Callithrix jacchus: one gene and its partner. The protein of the gene in region 2 interacts with the protein of the main gene of each other region in a biochemical or structural test. Links are inferred from orthologs where the notes say so. Each region holds a gene or a part of one and is shown on either strand. Other genes may lie near its edges.

The links. The genes of interacting proteins can lie anywhere in the genome.
Region 1: the proteins of CHM (region 2) and RAB7A are reported together in a solved structure, tested with the Homo sapiens proteins (2 studies listed by BioGRID, with this or other methods). The link is inferred for Callithrix jacchus from reciprocal best matches to the Homo sapiens genes CHM and RAB7A.

Annotation. Positions count from the first base shown.
Region 1 is NC_133516.1:73,418,493-73,425,645, forward strand, and holds the start of RAB7A (ras-related protein Rab-7a), read right to left. Parts: upstream 4,349-7,153; 5' UTR 4,155-4,348; intron 1-4,154.
Region 2 is NC_133524.1:83,293,438-83,299,376, forward strand, and holds part of CHM (rab proteins geranylgeranyltransferase component A 1), read right to left. Parts: intron 2,540-5,939; coding exon 2,375-2,539; 3' UTR 1-2,374. UniProt on the Homo sapiens protein: Substrate-binding subunit of the Rab geranylgeranyltransferase (GGTase) complex.

The DNA of each region.
Region 1 (7,153 bases), on a different chromosome or scaffold from region 2:
TGATCTCCTCAGCAGTGATGAAATCACCAAAACAGAGACTCCAGGCCCCATGAATTAAGTACTACATCTTCAAGCAAATGAACAAGGCCAATACTGTAGGTCAGCATTGGAACCAATTTCCAAGCTTTCTTCCTCCCCCAAGGAGATATTTTGCAAGTAGCTATTCTTAAATATGTTCTTGTAATCACAGCCTCAGATACTAAAATTGAAACTGGTAACAGACACTGCTAAAAAGCCTGTTTTGATTTCACTCTCCACATCACTTTTACCTCTGATTCACAAATCACAGTGACCACAATCGCCATTAAGAAATGTTTTAAAAATAAGTTTTAAAACACAAATACAAATTATTTTTGCCTTTAATGCCTTACAGAGTAAGGGGAAAAACAGAATAGAGGGAAGAAGTGAGAGCAAATAACTGAAAAGATCAACACATCGCACAATGTTTCTGCAGCAAACTGCAGAGGAGCATAGAGATCTATTAGATAATATTAACAGATAAGCATGCAGTAACACAAAGGAATGGATGCCAGAATACAATGAGAGCTAAGAGTCATCAACAGAAAGCCAATAGCTAAAAAATACACAGGGAGGTGGGGAGTTCATTTCTAGAGTTTCAGTTGCCTTCAGAAGAAGACATTTAGTGCCAAGGGGAATCTCTGTTTAGTCTTATTCAGGAGGACTTCTAAACCTTACCTCCCTACGAAAAGCCTGCCTACAGCTCCAAGTCCAATATCTGGTCAAATCTATTTCAGCTGTATTTGTTCAATTATATGAATGGGGAGTTAGATATTTTATCATAGGAAAAACTAAAATATTTGTGTGAAATGCCAGAGAGGAATGTGCATAAGACAACTGTCATATTTGTGTGGCCTGTGTTTGCTACATCTTTGCATACAAAGGCTAATGCCAAATGTAAGAGCAAAAACATTATTAGTGAAGATCTCTTTGAGGATGCATTCAAAGCTAATCAAATAAGCAAAACTTTTTGGCCTCACTTGGCAGTGAGGTCAGAAAACTGATTCGAAGTCACATTTTACTATCAAGCACTGTTCTCTGATTACACGGTTTGGGAGCTTAGGCACAGTTGGCACAAAAAAAAGAAAAGCCGGGCGCTGTGGCTCACGCCTGTAATCCCAGCACTTTGGCAGGCCGAGGCAGGTGGATCACGAGGTCAAGAGATCGAGACCATCCTGGTCAACATGGTGAAACCCCGTCTCTACTAAAAATACAAAAAATTAGCTGGGCATGGTGGCGTGTGCCTGTAATCCCAGCTACTCAGGAGGCTGAGGCAGGAGAGTGGCCTGAACCCAGGAGGCGGAGGTTGCGGCATTGCACTCCAGCCTGGGTAACGAGAGCCAAACTCCGTCTCAAAAAAAAAAAAAAAGAGAGAAAAACAAAATTGCCCCAGGTGGTTGCTAACTACCTAGAAGGATATACTAATAAAACTATTTTTAAAATATCTCCTGTATTCCGCCCTTCTGTTTACTAATGTTTTACCACAAATGTAAAACTCAAATCTCTTAAAGAAGGGAATCTGGAAAGTTGTGGAAGATAGGGCAGCACAGCTTTTCTACCTAGAATGGTACTGAAACTATGGCTGGTACAGTATCAGTGCTACATTAAACCTTCTTCCCAGCTGAAGAAAAAAATCCAGCACGCCAAATGTATCTTTGCTCAAAGACACTGCAGTGCAACATTAATGGCAGTGACACAGACTACCTCTTGAGTGAACAAAAAATGCCACTAGAGTTGGCCAGGCAAGATGGGTCACACCTGTAATACCAGCACTTTGGGAGGCTGAGGCGGGCAGATCACCTGAGGTCAGGAGTCGAGACCAGCCTGACCAACATAGAGAAACCTCACCTCTACTAAAAATACAAAATTAATTAGGCATGGTGGCGCATGCCTGTAATCCCGGCTACTCAGAAGACTGAGGCAGAAGAACTGCTTGTACCAGCGAGACAGAGGTTGTGGTGAGCTGAGACTGCACCATTGCACACCACTCTGGGCAACAAGAGCGAAATTCCATCTCAAAAAAAAATTAAATAAAATGCCACTAGAGCAAAAGGAGAAACAAGTTGAGTGCTGAAGGTTACTCTTTAAAAGATGAGATTAATTAGAAACTGTAATATTATCTTCTACACTCTCTGGAGAGCAAGCCTTATATACAAATGCTGTTGTTGAAATTAACGAAGTCTTAAAGTTAGCCAGAACACCAGCCTTTGGATTACTACTGATTCATCAGCAGAGAAGAGAAAATAACTCTTTCAAAAAGCCTGGAGTTCTGCCACCAAATCATTCCACAACAGAATTTCTGGCCAAGATCATTCACCTTTTAAAAATTCCTTGAGGACAGGAACCATGCCTATCTCCCTGAGTCAATATCCCGCAATGCCTGATACATTGCTGATACTCAATGAATACTCAAAATACTTCATGAACGAATAAAAAGGTGCCTATCATTACTCTCCTCTAAACTCAAACATCATATAAAGCTACAGTACTTATTACTCACTTAAATATTTTAGGCTGGGTAGCAAAGTTTAAAAAAAAGGACACATTTGAATACAACAGGATTGTGAACACTAAGCTTTAGCTTAGCCAGTCCCTTCAGAAGTACTCCTAACTCACCTTCCAGTTCTTACACTCAAATCTGAACAAACCTTCCCAAGTAAGAAGAGAGAAACACACTAAGAGGAGATTTTATTAATCCATGGATGAGAAATCATGTGCCTCATCAGCTGCTTAAGTCACAAGGAAGAGACAAGAGCCTGTTCTTTAGGAAACTAAAGATGCAGTATTTTCAATAGTAAAGAACCAACTGGCTGGACAGCCATCAACTAAGGTTGTAAGAAAGGTTCACGAAGCAGGCTTGCCAGGCCTACGTGCAAAATTTTTCAAACCTCAATTAAGTACCCTGCCAGTATTCAAGAGCTCCTAATTCGGTGATAGTACACCACAACATGTGTGATAAGTCGCAAATGGCATTTCTTATAGCCTTAAGGTAGAACTGATGAAAGACTTTCGAATGACATCAACAGAAAGAAAGGAGGTGGTGGGAGGCAGTGAGGTACAGATACCAGGTGGCAAAAGATAAACCACAAGCTTTGGGGGCAAGTGAAAGCAGTATAACCTAGAAATTGAATACACTGCTCTGGACTCTGACTGCCTCGGCTTGAAACTCTGCTTCATAACTTATTGGCTGTGTGGCCTTGGTCCAATGACTTAACCTCTCTGTTCTTCAACTTCCCACTGTTAAGTGGGCACAACAGTGGTACTTCAGAGGATTTATGTTTTCTTTCAACAAAGGGTAAACATAATGATCTATTAAAAGGTCTTGCCACGCTGCCTAACATACAATAAACGCTCAAATATTTGCTGTCAGTATTCTCAATATTCCCCTTATGAACCATAGGTAACAAGACTAAAATGAATGCAGAAAGAGGCCCCCAACACGGTCGGAATGGAAACACAACTCTGCATCCAACTACCATCTTTCCTCAAATAAGTTGAAAAACTTACCTCAGGATTTACCGTAACATGCCTATGACAAAAAGCTCCCCGTCTCCCAGCGCCAGAGGCACCTCAATGTACACAAGTACCGAGCCGAGCCCAGCGCACGTGACCTGACTCACTGCCCTGACTCAGTTGCTGTCAGGGAACCTCTCCCACTAACAGGGTCAGGCTGTTCAACTGAAGAGCCGGATGAGAACGCGCGGCTCGGCCCAAGCGCCTGTGACCCATGCCCGCCAGGTGGGCACAGCGGCGGGCGGGGTGGGCTCCGACACCCTCAGTCTCGCCGCGCTAAGGAACTCCACCGGCTAGCGCGTCCTGCCGCGGCGCAGGGCCGCCCAAGTCAGGGAACCCTCTCGGGTCTCTGAGATCGACACCAACAGTAAACAGAGCGTCCGAGACTGGCGGCCGGGGTCGGAAACCCAGCCAGAGGTCACACCCGACGACCTCCGACCTCTCCAAGCCGGGCGGGGTCCGGGCCTGCTCCAGGGACCTGAGCGATGCCGAGTTTCCCCGCGAGGCCAGGGCTGGGCCCGGAGTCTGCCCAGGAGGACAGGGAGGACGCGAGGCCCTGGCGACCGAGGGGCTGAAGAGGGGGATGGGGCCAGGCCGCCGGCCGGGCTGGGCCCGCTGCTTACCGCGGCCGCTGCGCTGGGGGCTCCGGGCCGGGCGCGTAGCGAGGGCTCCCGCCGAGGAGGAGACTCAACGGAGGACAAAAGCGGGGAAGTCCAAGTTCCAGTTCCAGCGAACTATCCTGGGCTCTCCAAGCCGCCAACTCCGCCGCTGCCGCCGCCTCAGGCTTTATGGCCAAGACTCCAAGCCCGCTCCCACTTCCGCCACCGCCACCGCCCCGAGCGGAAGTACCTGTCACGAGACGCTCGACGCCAGGGTGAGGAGGTGGAGCCCCGCCTCAACCTTGCGTCACGTTCCGGCTGCCTCGTGCCTGAGCCTGGGTCACGTGCTACAAACATGTCTGCTCCCAGGAGATAGTCCCCATCTTTGAGGTTCGTACAAGAAGCAGGACGGCGCCATGTTGGACCCGCAGACGGATTCCCTCAGCCATCCGTCCTTACTACAGAATAAAGAATGCCAGCGAAGAGAGGACGAGGGGTAAACTGGCCATTCCAGTTGTGTCCTTCTTCGGAAGGCATCATTTATCCTTACTTTAACCACTTAAGCAAAGATTAGTATCACCATTTTACAAATAAGAAGCTGAGACCCAGCATATCAGGTCACTTGGTCTAGCTCAACACAGAAACTGGTGGAGCAGGGTTTTGAACCAAGGTCTGTCTGATGCCAATGTGTGTTATCGTTCTAGTAGACTGTAAATGACTACAGCAATTGTGTGGCTCGGCGATAGAGACACTTAAAAGAAAGACACTGTCTGGCAGAAGAGACAGCCCACAAAAATGGAAAAATAGCTAAGCCTCTCTGAACTTAGTCTTAAAGAAGATGTGACAAAGATGGACCTAGTAGAACTCTTCTTGCAAGCATGGAGCCGCCTCGCAAGCACCAGCCCCATCTGAACACATCAGGATCCACTCAGAACTTTTGTCCACATCTTCAACAATGCCCTTTCATAGTCATTTTTTATCTTGGTTCATTCAAACTCCATTCTTTCAATTGTTCCATCCAAAAACCTTGCAACTGTTACAGTAGATAAGTAGTCAGACCTGAGCAGGGCAGGAGATGGGCCACTCCCCCACCAGCAATGTGAGGCAACCATCAGGTAGTGGTCAGGTGGTTGTTAAGCTGTCACTCTAAAACAATAAGTGGTTGCAGCCAGACCTGGGGAGAGGCAGTCTCCCAATAGATAGAAACACCCAAAGCTGGCTATCAGCAGCTTCTCGATAAGATCTCAGGAGTTGAAGGGCCTGGGTAAAAAAAAAAAAAAATCTTAGGAGCTAGGCGAGCAGTCTCAAGCCTGAGATGGTACATTGTCTGGGGTTCCCCCTTTTTCAACTAAAATTGGCTCTTTCCCCAAAAACCTCACAATCTATTCTCCTGTTTTCTCTATGTGTATTCTGAAATGGCCTTGCATACCATCTGCCTCTGGAGTAAGTCTACTCTTTCTCTGCTTTCACTTTGCAAGTGCCCAGGTGTTGGAGACCAGCTTGGGCAACACAACAAGACTGTTTCTTCCAAAAGATAAATAAGAAAGAAAAGAGAAGGCACACATCTACATCAGACCACTGCAGTTGTACTTCTCTACTTGAAAAGCTCTTCCTCCAGGTATCTGCTTGGCCACTCCCTCACTTTCCTCTGGTCTTGACTTTAAAGTAAACTTTTTAGTAAAATAGCCTTCCCTATTTAAAACCGAAGTCCCTTTCTCTGTCACCACAACACACACGAAAAAATTGCCATCTCCCTTACTGCTTTTCTCCTTTTTTGCATGTAAACAGGAGGTCTTACTATGTTATTCAGGCAGTCTTGAACTCCTGGTGTTGAATAATAATTCAGCCTCCCAAAGTTTTTCCTCTTATATTACTCACTTATTTACATAGTGTCTGCCTTCCCCACTAGAATGGCAGCTCCATAAGGGCAGCTATTTTTGTGTTTCATTCACTGAGATAAATCCCTGATTCTTGAAACAGTGTTAGGGTGTAGTAGGAGCTCAATATGTACAATTTACAGAGTATTCAAGGGAATGGAAACTGAAAATAGTTTCGAAGGCCAAGAGTTATGATAATTCCACCCCATTCAGCAGCCAATCAAAATTCTGGGTTTGAAGATAAAGTAGCAACTAGGAATGCAGTAGTCCTCATCCCCAGGTTTGGCAGGGCCAACTGCAGGATTTGAGTATCCAAGTCCTAGAACCAATCCACCACAAATAACAAGGGACAACTACTATACCAGAAAAGGCAGAGCACAAAAGTTAAATGGGACATGTGGGCCCCCAGCCTTCTAAGAGGACTTCTGAGAAGGCTATTCAGATGTAAACATGGGGTATTTCCTGTGGGAAAGAAAGGATGGCTTAGAAGAAACCTATGAGCCAAGAGGGTAGAGCCAGGAGCTACAGATAATCATTTCCAGGGAGCAGGAGGGGACTCGAATTGAGGAGCTGGCATCAGGTACCTGGCTAGATTTCAGAATTACTATGACCCAGTGGCAGCTGTCACTCCTGTTTTTCCCCCTTTTGAACAGAAGTGTCTATTCTGCTTATGTTCCATATGCTGGGTCTGTGGAGAGCAGATAACGCCTCTAGCTCGCAGACCTTCAGAGGAACAGTACTCAGAAATGTTCTTAAGGAATTATATCTGAGGAACTCATCCGCACCTGGACCTGATTTGCATGACAAGATCCATTTTGAGCCAATGATGTATTGGGGTTGAGAATTTTAGGGTCCTTGGAAGGAGTTGAGTAGAGCAGGTCCTCCAATAACATCATTTCAGTTATAACATTGATGAGAAAAAATTGATTCCTGGCCAGGGCCCCTGTCTGTGTAGTTTGCACTCTCTCCCCATGTCCGAGTTTTCCTTGGTTCCTCTGGTTTCCTCCCACATTTCGAAGATGTGCCCTTTAGGCGAATTGGCGTGTCTGAATTGTCCCAGTCTGAGTACATGTGCGTGTGTGTGTGCAATGGGATGGCATCCTATACAGGATTGGTTCCTGTCCTGAGCTTCCAGAATAGATTCTG
Region 2 (5,939 bases):
TACATATAGGCGACTGCAGTAAGGCCATCAGAATTTTTGTGGTTATTCTAGGCCTATCCTGATTGTCTGTTTACAAGAATGTGCATGCTGCATTCAAGCGGCCTTAACTCTAAGACCATAAAAGTGCAATACCTTTATTGGCACAATTTACTGCAGTTGTATTCAGACTCAATTGTCTCATCTAGTGGAACCTTTTATAATGTATTGCTGATATCCAGAGGCAAGGCCAATACCCGGTACATAAATAGGTATGTATTAGACATTGAGTGCATATGCCCCAGCTGGGTTTCAGGAAACACAATTTGATATAAGAAAAATCTGAATCCCTGTGACAAAGTAGGTTATAACGTGATCCTACTGTCCTGATTTATGTGACATTATAAAAGGGGAAGCGAAGGAAAGGAGACTAAAGAGATGGGGAGGAGCTGTACACTGGGAGGTAGGAACAAGAGCAGCCTGAGAGGCCAGTAAGTTTAGTTCTTCCATTATTCTGGCTTCAACTATATCTGCAGGGGGTAGAAAGGAGAGGCATGAGCTATGTTCCTTGGTTCTTTCATATCCCATGAATCTGTGACATGCTACAGCTAGCTTCCTTTAAGAACATTTCTGAAACCTGGTGAGGTCAGGGACCAGCTCCACTTGAAGTATATAAGAACTATGTGCTTTACAATGGAGCCATGGCTTACTGATAGACAATATGGGCTGTATCTTGTGAAAAAAAAAATTTAGAGTTCATTTATTTATTTACAGGCAATTATAAGACTAAACTATTGCTCAGATAAAGTAGACCATCAGAGCTTGGCCATTTGAGAAAACTTAAATATAGGCAACGTCACTGTAGCTAGGTTTGCTGCCTATGTACAGACCTAACTTTTTTTTTTTTTTTTGAGACAGTCTAGCTCTGTTGCCCAGGCTGGAGTACAGTGGCACAATCTCAGCTTACTGCAACCTCTGCCTCCCAAATAGCTAGGGTTACAGGTGCCTACCATCACACCCAGCTAAAATTTTATATTTTTAGTAGAGGCAGGGTTTTGCCATGTTGGCCAGGCTGGTCTCAAACTCCTGACCTCAAGTGATCTAACCACCTCAGCTTCCCAAAGTGCTGGGATTACTGGCAGCCCTAAAATTTTATGTAGCATGTATATTAGGGCTTACCAACTGTCACACTCAATTTGAAGTCCTGGGTGGTTGCAGGTTTACCTACCAGAAAAGGAACAGGAACAATTTATAGAGTGTTTTCCTTAGTCAGATTTCAAAACCACAACTCTACTTGTTACTATTTTTACTCATCTGTAAGACTATAAAATACTAATTAAAAAAAGAAATTTTCATTTAAAAAGCTTAATGCAATAAAAATGCTGTGATCTATTTTGTTTGAAGCTGACAGCACGCAATTATTTCCTGCGTGAGACTTTTGATATTCATCAAGTCAATGGGAAAATTCTAAAACAATTTTCTTCCAGTGATGCCATACTAAAGATGGCACTGCATTTGTCTTCATAACCATTGTCATACAGTAGGCACGGTACTACTATATATGGAGAAACATAGGCCAAGAAGTTAAAACAATTTACCAAATATCATCAGTAGGAGAGCCAGGATTAAATTAGGTCTGTAGACAATTAGCCTAGTACTCTAGTTACTTGACAGACAGAACATCCAAATACCAGTGAGTCTATCCATGCCTTTCCTTCCATTCTTTCATTTCTTTATTATTGACCCTTCCCAATATGTAAATAATTTACAAACAAATATCACTGATACTAAAAAGAAAACATTACCGACTTATTCATAAAAATGTGTAAACACCTTAATATTAGCATTTTCAATGCTTCTCAACAGAGAAAGCAAAGCAAAACAAAACAAACCCATATTCCAAATACAGGCTTCTATCTAGATCATGATACTTTAGTTTTTCTATATATGTTTTTATCCTTGTGTTATAATGCTGTTATTAATAAAGAAACTATAATTTAAATAATCAAAGAAAATACGTGAGCTGGTTCTGAAAATGTGGCTTTCCAACAAAGACCCAAAGTGGCAAACAAAATTGTCCTAAAACCACTAAATTATTAACAGTGCATAGGATCACTTTCATATCCATAGTTACATTCCTGAGAATCGAATGATTTATAATTTTCATCTGCTAGTCACTTAAGTTTGGTATTTAAAATGAGCAGGTCAATGTGCTTTATACGTGTTGTGTGTTTTTGGAATGTCCTCTATCAGGAAAATCCCCTTTCGGATTTCTATTACCTATTTTGCCTTATAATTGGTGCTGCTTCCTAACATTTTTCAAACAGTCCTTCTATCAAGCAGGCTCTGAGACCAGTAGAAATTTCCAAAGTGGGGTATTCAGTTTAGTATGTATCCATTATTCAGAGGGCTCCTCTAGGTTTCCAAGGTTTGTGCTTTCCTTGAGAGTCTCTGAGTTAGCCTCTGGCTGTAAACTGTCTCCATCAAGGACAATGTCTTCAGGATTCGGTGGAGGGGGACAGAAATCTTCACTGGGGCAGATTTCCTGGAAAATTGTTTCAGCCTGGCCAATGAAGAAAAGATAAAATCATTTTTGGAAATCAGTTTAAAATGTGTGTGCATTTCTGGCACTAACTAAAAAATTCAGTGTTATCCTTTAAAATTCCCTTAAGCAGGTTATAGTACTTTATCAGTATACGTTAACTTCTGTAAGTCTGTTTTCAGAATTCTATGACTTCTCCCTTTAATTCTATACACGTATTCAGGTCCACTCTTCAAGGATGGCAGTACCCCATCAGGTTCATTATCAAGTGTTCAAACTGTTGAGAACTGAAACACATTCATTCTATATATCAATAGAAATACAATTTCCTTAATATTATTTTGTATGATTTCTTATAGAGCCTTGATATGGTTTGGTTCTGAGTCCCCACCCAAATCCCACCTCAAATTGTTATCCCCATGTGTTAGGGGGTGATTGGATTAAGGGAGCAGCTGCTCCCATGCTGTTCTTGTGACAGTGAGTTCTCATGAGATCTGATGGTTTAAAGTATTTAGCAGTTCCCCCTTTTCTCTCTCTCCTGCCCCCATGTAAGACATGCCTTGCTTCCCCTTCACCTTCCACCATGATTGTAACTTTCCTGAGGCTTCCACAGCCATGTGGAATTGGGAGTCAATTAAACCTTTTTTGTTTATAAATTACCTAGTCTCGGATAGTATCTTTATGCAGTGTAAGAGGCACTAATAGAATTGGTACAAGGAATGGGGTACTACTATAAAGATAATCTGAAAATGTAGAAGTGACTTTGGAATTGGGTAATGGGCAGAGGTTAGAACAGTTTGGAGGGCTCAGAAGAAGACATAAATGTGGGAAAATTTGGAACTTTCTAGAGATTTGCTGAATGGTTTTGACCAAAATGCTGATAGAGATATAGACAATGATATCCAGGCTGAGGTGGATTCAGATGGAGATGAAGAACTTATTGGAAACTGGAGCAAAGGTGACTTTTGCTATGCTTTAGCAAAAAGACTAGCGGCATTTTGTCCCTGACCTAGAGATATGTGAAACTTTGAACTTGAGAGAGATAATTTAGGATACGTGGCAGAAGAAACTTCTAAGCAGCAAGGCATTCGAGAGGTGGATTGGCCGATTCTGAAAGCACTCAGTCATGTGTGTTCACAAAGAGATGGTTTGATATAGGAACTTATGTTTAAAAGGGAAGCAGAGCATAAAGGTTTGGAAAATTTGCAGCCTGACCATGTGGGAGAAAAAAAAAAACCATTTTCTGGGGAGGAATTCAAGCTGGCTATAGAAATTTGCATAAGAAATGATGAGCCAAATGTCAACAGCCAAGACAATGTGGAAAAGGTCTCCAGGGCATGTCAGAGATCTTCCCTGGGAGGGAAAAATGTTTTCTTAGGCTGGGTGGGCCCAACTGCTCTGTGTGTCCCTAGAATATGGTACCCTACATCCCAGCTGCTCCAGTTCCAGTCATGGCTAAAAGGAATAAAGGTACAGCTTGTGCCGTTGCTTCAGAGGGTGCAAGCCCCAAGCCTTGCCAGCTTCCATGTGATGTTGGGCCTGAGGGTGCATAAAAGACAAGAGTTGAGGTTTGGGAGCCTCTGTGTAGATTTCAGAGGATGTTTACAAATGCCTAGATGACCAGGCACAAGTCTGCTGCAGGGGTACAGCCCTCACGGAGAACCTCTGCTAGGACAGTGCTGAAGGAAAATGTGGGCTTGGAGTCCCCATAAAGAGTAACCAATAGGGAACTGTTTAGTGGAGCTAAGAGAGGGCCACTGTCCTCTAGACCCTAGAATAGTAGATCCACCAACAGCTTGCACCACGCACCTGGAAAAGTCACAGGCACTCAATGCCAGCCTGAGAAAACAGGCACAGTACCTATGCCCTGCAGAGCCACAGGGTTGGAACTGCCCAAGAGCATGGAACCCTAGCCCTTGTATCAGCATGGCCTGGATGTGACCACATGGACTCAAAGGAGATTTTGGAGCTTTAAGATTTAATGACTGGCCAGCCGGATTTGGGACTTGCATGGGGCCTATGGCCACTTTGTTTTGTCCAATTTCTCCCATTGGGAATGGAAACAGGTACCCAGTGCCTATACGCCAGTGTATCTTGGAAGTAATTAACTTGCCTTTGATTTTACAGGTTCATAGGCAGAAGGGACTTGCCTTGTCTCAGATGAGACTTTGGATGTGGACTTTTGAGTTAGTGCTGGAATGAGTTAAGACTTTGGTGGACTGTTGGGAAGGCTTGACTGATTTTGAAATGTGAAAAGGACATGAGATTTGTGAATGGCCAGGGGCAGAATGATATGGTTTAGCTGTGTCCCCACCCAATTCTCATCTGAAATCGTAATTCACAAGTATTGGGGAGGGACCTGGTGGGAAGTGATTGGATTATGGAGGCAGTTTTTCCCATGTTGTTCTTGTGATAGTGACTTCTCAAGAGTTCTGATGCTTTAAAAGTGTTTGGCCATTCCCTCTTCACTTTCTCTCTCCTGCTGCCATTTAAGACATGTCTTCCTTCCCCTTTGCCTTCCACTGTAATTTTACATTTCCTGAGGCCTCCCCAGCCATGAGAAACTGTCAGTCAGTTAAACCTCTTTTGTTTACAAATTACACAGTCTTAGGTAGTATCTTTATAGCAGTGTGAGTACAGACTAAAACAAGCGTATATGTAATATTGGTATAGTCTCATTTCGCATATAATAATTTTTAACAAGTCACTGTTCAAACGAAGAAAATTCCTCACTGTTTGCTCAACCATTTGCTTTCTGATATAGTTCCTATTCCCTGGACTTGAAGGACTATAGCACTTGTTTAATCTCATGGATTTTGAAAAGATAGCCTCAGTAAAAATGCTGGCTCTACTATTTAACAGCTATGTGATTTGGGGAATGTTTACTCAATATCTGAGCTTTGGCTTCCATATCTATAAAATATCAGAGTAAGCCAACATATATGATAGCTATTTTCATTATTCCTAATAATAACATAAGTAAAAATGTCAAGATTTAAGTTGAACTTGTTAGTATGATAGTGAGGGAATGTATTCTCTCCCGGGGTCCACAAGGGGGCACAGTTTCAAGGGCAAGAACTTCTCAGTGCCATGCCTCCCGACCTCTTCAGCAGGAAATTAGAGGTCTTTAAGTTTTCCCGCACGCGGGAAAGAATCAAAGACCAATCACTCCAGCGGAAGTTTAAAGGAACCCCTTTCATATGTCAAAGCGCTTGGATAGGGTGGGAATTCCTCCCAGGTTACAAGTCCCTGTCCCCACATCTGGCCGGACTCCATGTCTGGATCCCCTTCCACGACCTTCGTGGAGGCTTTCCTCTCTTATCTTTCTCTTTCTCTGCCTAAATACATCACTTTCCGCAACAACTCTTTGGGGTCCGACATTTACTTGTGAGCGCACTACGCCCGCTATGGTCCCCTCTCC